2 linked regions of the Rattus norvegicus genome follow. The protein of the gene in region 2 binds, or shares a complex with, the protein of the main gene of each other region. Links are inferred from orthologs where the notes say so. Each region holds a gene or a part of one and is shown on either strand. Other genes may lie near its edges.

Region 1 (3,809 bases), on a different chromosome or scaffold from region 2:
CTCAAGGGTTTTTTTTTTTTTTTTTTTTTTTTTTTTTTTTTTTTTTTTTTTTTACCCCACACTTGATTGGTAAGGTAATAATTTTAAGAATGCTGACAGTTGGGGTTGGGGATTTAGCTCAGTGGTAGAGCGCTTGCCTACGAAGCGCAAGGCCCTGGGTTCGGTCCCCAGCTCCAAAAAAAAGAACCAAAAAAAAAGAAAGAAAGAAAAAAAAGAATGCTGACAGTTTTTATACAAAAGCCAAATGCTAACTTATTTTCCATGGCTAGGATCAAATCCAGAGTGTTGTGTATGGTAGACAGGCGCTCTGCCAGTAAGCAACAGCCCCAGTATTAAATTAGGAAGGAAAAAAAGAGGCACATTTTGTTTAAATGAAAACTTGAAAAACCTTACACTAGGAACTCTTACAGGACTTACGTTTTTCCATTCCACTCCACAATTTTTGTAAAGTTCAGGTAATTGTCCTCTCCAGTCAGAAAAACATACTCCCCATCATTAGTTCCATTTCTCTGGAAAGAAGCAAGCATCACAATTTTAAAAATGACCAAAAATGCTGTGCTACTTTAAATTAACTTTCCTGCCAGCTGAGCCCCCCCCACCCTCCCTTCGTTAGCCAAGACATTCTAAGGACCATGCATTCAGGCTGCTCTCCTAGAATGAAACAATGTTGGCAAGACTCAACTTTCAGGACCCATTCTCTCACAGAAGTAACAAACATTTAAAACTTGTTTATAATTGTGTCTGAACAACCTCTTAAATTTTGTAAACTTTTAAGGCTTGCCCTGGGTCAGAGAGGAAGTAAGATGCTATGGCGTCATGGCATCATGGCGTCATGGCATCATGCGGGAGACCTCGGACAGGCACAGGCCAGACTATGAGCATATTTCCTCACCCTACCTCAGTGTTTCACTCACTCCCGAGGTTAGTTTTATCCGTCACCAGCTAGTTATTTTATGACAGTTTCTTTCCCTCCCCCTCCAAAGCCTTATTTTTTTCACAGACTTTGTAAAATATTTAGAACTCCAGGCAAGTTTGGTCTTCGCCTGGAAGAAAGCCAGACTTAAGATGCACTCTGGCTTGTGTGCCCTCTTCCCCGTGTGGCCCAGTATGCTAAAGATAGGTTCTAGGAAGGAAACTTACCTCATAGAACAGGCCAAAGTTAGGGGAGACGTCAGGTCTGAAAATATGGACGAGCGACAAGACCTCATCTTTGTAGCCCCAGAGCAGTTCATGTACAGTGTGAGTGACAAACAGCGTCTGCTGATAAGCTTTCAGCATGGCCTCGATGATCTCCCTGAGGAAGGGCTGCTGGGCCATTTCCACAACAGTCTGCAGAGTAGAGGCAGGTTAACCAGTGTCCGTCCGCCCCCTCCCCCCCCCCCCGCCAAAAAAACCAAAAACCAAAAAACACCCACTTGGCTCTCTTCCTGCCCCTCAGTAGAAGAGGCCAGAAGCTGAGCTATAAATGTTTGAGACTAAACAGTAAATTCAACCAGTGACCTTCCAGTCTTTGTGTGGAATAAGAGTTCAGATACTGCCCTTGCTCAAATTACTCTCTCTCTCTCTCTCTCTCTCTCTCTCTCTCTCTCTCTCTGTCTAGACTTTGTGGCCTTACACATAATAGACAAATACTACCACTGATCTCTATCCTAAGCCCTAAGCCCCAGGACACATTTTGTAAATTTTGAGACACCAAGTCTCACTAAGTTGCCCAGGCTAACCTTGAACTCACTCGGGAGCCCAGTCTGAAATTTTTTCTTTCTTTTTTTTTTCTTTCTCTTTCTTCTTGGTTCTTTTTTTTCGGAGCTGGGGACCGAACCCAGGGCCTTGCGCTTCCTAGGGAAGCGCTCTACCACTGAGCTAAATCCCCAGCCCCAATTTTTTCTTTTTTTAAAGATTTATTTATTGATTCTATTTGAGTACACTGTAGCTGTCTTCAGACACACCAGAAGACGGCATCAGATATCATTACTGATGGTTGTGAGCCACCATGTGGTTACTGGGATTTGAACTCAAGACCTCTGGAAGAGCAGTCAGTGCTCTTAACCACTGAGCCATCTCTCCATCCCCCAATCTGGAATTTTGATCTTCCAGTTTTTGCTATAGAAAGTAGCTGGGATCACAGGCCTGGACCTCCAGGGCAGGCTCATATTACATCTCGTAGATGTGAATTTAAACTCCCCTTTAGCAGGCTCTGAATGGTGCCAATGTCCCAGAGATCTTATAGAGACCATGGCCACAAGGTGGCTCCATTCCCCCCCTGGAGCAAAGTGGCAGCTGGCCCTTTAAACTCTTACAAGGCAAGGCAAGGCAAGGCAAGATTCAGTTTCAGATTGGAAGGTCCTGGGTCTTCCATCAGTGTTAAGCAGCAGTCACTTTAGAGTGGAGACCTCAGAAGAGGATGGCATAGGTGATAAAGTTCCTGGGAGGGCTAGGGATTCAGCTCATCGGGTAAAGCAGCCCCATCCTCCGATGCTACAATGCAGGAAGCTCTGAATTTGATCCCTATCACCACATTAAACAACAGACAAAGGTGGCAGTCTAACCTGGGCTACAAGAGGTCCAGTTTCAAGAAAGAATGCCTGTGGGTCTCAGTATGGCGTAGGTATAACACAGGTGTTATAAGGTGGAATTGTCATCATAATTGGGAGACCAAAGAAAAACACAGTACACTCTAATCAAAGGTCTGAATGGGGGAGGGAAGTGTCAATCGTGTGTCTTAAATTTTTTGAACTTAAAATAAAAATCTAAGAAGTGACATGAAAATTCTAGTAGGTTTCTAAGACAAAACAAAGGAATGAATAGGTTTGAAATTTCTAGATACTTAAAAAAAGTCATCCCTTATTTGCATAAATGCTAATCCTGATCACAAAGGGGCAGGGGGAAATCCCAGTCTTTGATGACTTTTGAAATGACCTTATTCTACAGACCTCAGAAAAAAGTCTCTATCTATCTACTTAGACGGGGAAGGCATACACTTAGTAAAAGTACATACACTGCTCCTACTACAGCATGGCTCTGATTCAAGCATTAAGCAGACGAAGAAGTATCAATGCCAAGCTGGAGGCCAGGAGGGACACACATACACACACACACACACACACACACACACACACACACACACCCCAAAGTCTTTGTGCATCTGTATTTTGTGTTTGCTTTCTGATGGTACAGAGATTAAATTCAGGGACCCCCCCTGCAAGATGAACCCCCCTCCCCCAATAATATCTATATTTTATCATAAAACAGCTCTTAAATTGTATAGCTCTTATTTTATTATCATAAAATAATAGCCCTTAAATCTGTCAGACTCGCCGTTTTCCTTCCACAACCAATAATGCTAATGACAATGAGACTTACCAACAGAGGAATATTTATTGTTCTAATCAAGTCAACGGTAGGGTCTCCAACAGACTGGTTTCGTTCAAAAATATATGCCTTATTGGTGACGGCAGATATGGTTGTTCCATTTTCTCCAAACTGAACGTTTGCCTTGTTCCTGAGCTCCCTAAACAAACAGACAAACGTATTTGAAAACGGATAGCAGTTTAACAAACAAAGCCATTCCCTCAGCTCAGTACAAAAGTTACATTTTTTCAATGTAACACTTCTAATAAAGCGATTATTTACATAGGCGCTGATAGCCGCAAAAACACAACAACTTAGAGCCAAGATGATGAAGGGGATGAGACCCAGGAAAACATCAAAATCTATAACTTCCAGTTTTTTTTCTTCCAGTATCAGGAAGGCACAGTAGTCAAACAGACAAATAGACAGACAAATGAGCTGTTTCCTCAATTATAACTTGG
Region 2 (4,512 bases):
CCAGACCCCATGGCCCTGAGGATCCCTTACTTGACAAAGTAATTGGCCCAGGCCTCGTGATAGATATCCCCTGGGTGACCCTTGAGTGACCCTTTCCCATTCACTGCTCCATTGGTCTTGAGCCAAGTGGGTGATGTCCAGGGACTGGCAAAGAGTGAAATGGGGCGTGGGGACATCTTCAGGGCTCGGTGAATCAGGGGTATCTGGAGACAAACAGTCAAGAGAGAGACACCCAGAGCTGGAACACATACTAGTTCAACCAGTGTATCAGGTCCAACCATCAGCCCCCACCCTCTTACCCCCAAGTCAGATAGGCTGTAGAAGGTTCCACATTGCTCTAGACAGCTCTAACCTGGACCTTCCCAGCCCCAAGACAGCAATACCAACAGGGCTGAAGCAACTGGAATGCCCACCTTGAGCTTGGTGTCTTCCTCCGGGAGGCTGAAGTTGGATAACTGGAAGTCATTAGGGGTGTCAGCATAGGTGTAGATGCGGATGGAGAAGTCACAACTGGCCATGGGTACCCGGATGATGTTATACTCAATGCCTGCAGGAAAGGATGGCCCAGATAGGGAGGTCTGAATCAATAGGAGAGTATGAAGCGAGCGTGGTGGCACCACGCCTGGAATCCCATCCCTCCAGAGGCTGAGGCAGCCGGATCAATGTGAGCAAGCCAACCGGGGCTACAAGGCAAGGCCCTGTCTCATAATAAATAAAATAAAATAAAATAAGGCGAGTATGAAAACTGGCTTGAATCAGTTGTCCTCCACAGAGTCTCATTCAGAGCCAGGGTCTAGGTGTGGAATTGTGGAGAATCAGTGGCACTGAGTCAGGTACACTTGGTGGCATCTGCTTGTAATCCCAGCCCTTAGAAAACTAAGAGTCCAAGGCTAGTCATGGCTACACAGTATTCGAGGGAAGCCTGATCTACAGAAAGTAAGGGAGGAAGGGGACAAAGAGAAAGAGGGGAAAACAGAGGCAGGCTGGGGATGTAGTTCAGGGGGCTGAATGCTTGCCAGGGGTGCATGAAGCCTGAGTCTGCGCTCCAACACTGTATAAAACAGGGGAACTCCAGCATTCGGGAAACGTGACGCCGGAGGGTCAGAAGTTCAAAGTCTGATATCACTGACTGCAGTAGATTTGAGTCTTGAATACATGAGACTCACTCAAAGAGGGACTGAGAGGAGAGGGGAGAAGAAAAGGAAGGGAGGCAAATGTCAGGGGGAAATATGGAAGCGAGAGCAAAAAGCCTGGCAAGACAGCTCAGTGGGTAGGGTAAGAGTTTTTCCTGCCAAGCCTGCAAGACCTGAATCATGATCCAAATGGTGGAAGGAGACAGAGGACACCTGCAAATTGTCCTCTGACCTCCTCACTCATGCACAGCACATACAACAGATAATAAAATGTAATTTAAAAAAAAAAAAAACTGAGGGGTTGGGGATTTAGCTCAGTGGTAGAGCGCTTGCCTAACAAGCACAAGGCCCTGGGTTCGATCCCCAGCTCCGAAAAAAAGAAAAAAAAAAAAAAACTGAAATAAAGCCAGGCTATAAAGAAGGGCATACATTACAGTGTGCCATCCTGCTCCGCCCTTTCTCACCTTCGCTAGAGAAGTAGGACTTGAGTAGCAGTTTCTGAGCCGGGGGGGACAAGGCAAGGATGTTGAGCGCAGTGGCATCTGTCATGGCACCTCCAAATCCTTTCACTTTCTGGAACTTCTCTTCTGGCTGCAAGGTTAGTAGGAGCCCTGGAAGAAGAAGGGGGAAATCAGTCCAGATCACTATCACTACTGTGACTTTGGGGTCCAGGTTTGGAGGGGCAGATAAAGGGGCTACCTGTGCCAGTGCGGTTGGCCTGGATGGACCCGGTACTCAGCTCCATCCGACGTCCGCTTCGAGTACTCTCATAACGGCTGAAGGTACCCAGAGCCGGTAAGGTCAGGGGGTCAAGAGAGTCACAGTACGTTGCATTGCAGACACAGACCACTGAGCTGTAGCCAAAACTTTTGGGGATGCAGGGTTGGGCACCTAGAAAGCAGGGCACAAGCACAGGCAAGCATCAAAGTAGGTTTATGGGGGACTGAGCATGCTAGTTAAGGAGTCTGAACAACAATTAAAAAAAAAAAAAATAAGGGGACGGGGATTTAGCTCAGTGGTAGAGCGCTTGCCTAGCAAGCACAAGGCCCTGGGTTTGGTCCCCAGCTCCGAAAAAATAAAAATAAAAAAATAAAAATAAATAAAAATAAATAAATCCTTCCCCTGTACTCCTTGTGCCCAAAGATGTCTCAGGCACTCTAAGGGCCTTACAGAGTCCCTACTGAAAGTCCACCATCATAGTGAAAGGCCCCAGAGGACTATGGGGAAGGAAACACCGTCATGCCTCCATCCCCATCCTCGACTCACCATATGCCCAAGATATGGCCTGAAATAGGAAGAGTCCTATGAACCTGGCAGCCATGACACCAGGACGCTTCTGAGAAGGAAATGAGGAAATGAATGTAAGACTCTCTATCCTGCGACCACTCTCCTGGCCAGAGTTTAGCCGCCTGTGGATGTTTACAGCATGGGCTCCCACCTTTATTAGTGACCAGACAATGTCCTTAGACACTGGAGGGGTCTTGCTTTTACTCGGTTGCCCACTCCAAAGAGGGCTCTCTTCACTCTTTCCCCCACATCCATTTCAGCCTTCAGTCCTCCCTCCACCCGTGCTTTACTCCAAGAGCATGATGCCCTGAATTAAAAAAATAAAATCTGAACTCACTGAATTCCCTAATCTGGATGGGCAGAATTCCAGAAGCAAGACTGACCAGGCAAATTGTAGCCCTGCTTCCTTACCTCTGGAAGATCTTGAGAACTTGAGCTCCTCAGGATCAGTGGATAAGAAGATTGTAGCAGTTTCAGAGTCTTGGAGAGTTAGAAGATCTACCAAATAAAACAAGTATATTGACAGATACCATATCTATTGGAGCCGGACTAGCACAGCAATTCCGGCTTAAAGGGGAGGACAGAGTCACGTGATGACTAAACCAGTCACGTGATGCTGGAAGTGAGGCAATCGAAGCCATATTTGTGATGGGCAGCTGGATCCGTCCAGGCTGTTCATTCATTGTATACCCTGTGAGGTTTTGGGAGGCTTAAAGGATGACAGCTTTAGGAAGAGAATTCTAACAAGGATTTTATGAACAGCTGAGTAGAGGCTCCTAAATCCAAGACAGAGAGGATTTCTAGCCTCTAAGGGACACTGTATTCACATGCACATACCGTCACACAGATATAATTTAAAAATAAAAACAAAATTTAAAAGACCCCACATACAGCCTGGCAGTGGTGGCACATGCCTTTAAATTTGGCACTTGGGAGGAGGAGGCAGGGGGATCCCTTCGAGTTCAAGGCCAGCCTGGTCTACAGAGCAATTTCCAGGACAACCAGGGTTATTACACAGATAAACCCTATCATGAAAAACGACAAACCCTCACATATACACAATCTTTGCTCTAAAGAGACTAGTGAGACACATGAGTCAGATACTTACAGAGTTACAGATGAAGACAGACAGAAATGTTGACAGGTGCACTCACAGGACTCCTTGAGAGGAAAAAGGACCCTTCTCAGACAGCTGGTGGCAGCAGTTCCAATGAACTGCAGGGAGCTGCTGTCTGTCTCGCTCTGGATAGCAGGCCTGAGGGAGGAGTAGTCAGTCCTCACTGGCCCTTTCTACATTCCTTTGTGTCATCATCGGATGCTGGCTAGAAAGCTACTCATCTTTCCTGACAAGAAACTGGAGGGTTGGGAATTTAGCTCAGTGGTAGAGCACTTGCCTAGCAAGCACAGGTCCCTGGGTTCGTTCCTCAGCTTCCGGAGGGGGGAAAAAAAAGAAACTGGAAAATGCTGTCTATCTTTGGTGGACACAAAAAGAGAGCTGTCCTTGAGGTTTCTTTGTAAATCACATCAAATAAGATTTATTAGCAGTGACACATACCATATGATCTGACTAATTCCAGGTTTCTAAGCCTGTTTCCACACTTGCCCAACACAGACACTAGCACAACCTCACAGAGGCATTACTAGAGTTAGCAAGATAAGCCAAGTGAAGCATGTAATTAGAATCAGGAGCGTTATGCTTGTTGAATGAGGCTTTTATAATCACGACACTGAAGTCTTTATCACATAACCTTCAAAAAGTTGATTACTGCTCTGGCAGTATTGAAGCATAGTTTCTACGAGATGCATTGATTTGAATCCTGGCAACTCACAACGGTGTACTGTTTGTTTATCATGTTAAGACTCAGTAAATCAATTCCTCTAAGCCTGCTCCTTATCCATGAGGAGGGATCAAGCCGCCTCCTAGGGCTATTGTGAGATGAAGAGCAACTAGGTGTGGTTATGATAGAACTGCACACGATTGTTGCAAGTAAGCAGGCCAGTGTTTATGTGGGAAACCTTCAAGGAAACGTCTGACTTGTTCTAGGCAGCCTCACAGCCTTTCAGTATCTATTATGTCACAGGGATTAGTGCC

Evidence for each region.
Region 1: the proteins of Gba1 (region 2) and Scarb2 are in contact, whole or in part, in a cryo-EM structure (PDB 9FJF), measured with the Homo sapiens proteins. The link is inferred for Rattus norvegicus from reciprocal best matches to the Homo sapiens genes GBA1 and SCARB2. Residues at the interface, in NP_000148.2 of Homo sapiens: Leu130, Asn131, Ala134, Ile169, Glu190, Lys194, Leu195, Pro430, Arg434, Ile445, Thr446, Asp448; in NP_005497.1 of Homo sapiens: Lys161, Ala162, Tyr163, Gln164, Lys181, Glu183, Leu187, Phe191, Arg192.

Annotation. Positions count from the first base shown.
Region 1 is NC_086032.1:15,877,009-15,880,817, reverse strand, and holds part of Scarb2 (lysosome membrane protein 2), read right to left. Parts: intron 3,509-3,809; coding exon 3,361-3,508; intron 1,330-3,360; coding exon 1,141-1,329; intron 510-1,140; coding exon 418-509; intron 1-417.
Region 2 is NC_086020.1:176,905,650-176,910,161, reverse strand, and holds the start of Gba1 (lysosomal acid glucosylceramidase precursor), read right to left. Parts: upstream 2,961-4,512; 5' UTR 2,832-2,960; intron 2,470-2,831; 5' UTR 2,455-2,469; coding exon 2,400-2,454; intron 2,025-2,399; coding exon 1,833-2,024; intron 1,745-1,832; coding exon 1,598-1,744; intron 1,509-1,597; exon of another isoform or gene 1,434-1,508; intron 548-1,433; coding exon 414-547; intron 204-413; coding exon 31-203; intron 1-30. UniProt on the Homo sapiens protein: Glucosylceramidase that catalyzes, within the lysosomal compartment, the hydrolysis of glucosylceramides/GlcCers (such as beta-D-glucosyl-(1<->1')-N-acylsphing-4-enine) into free ceramides (such as N-acylsphing-4-enine) and glucose.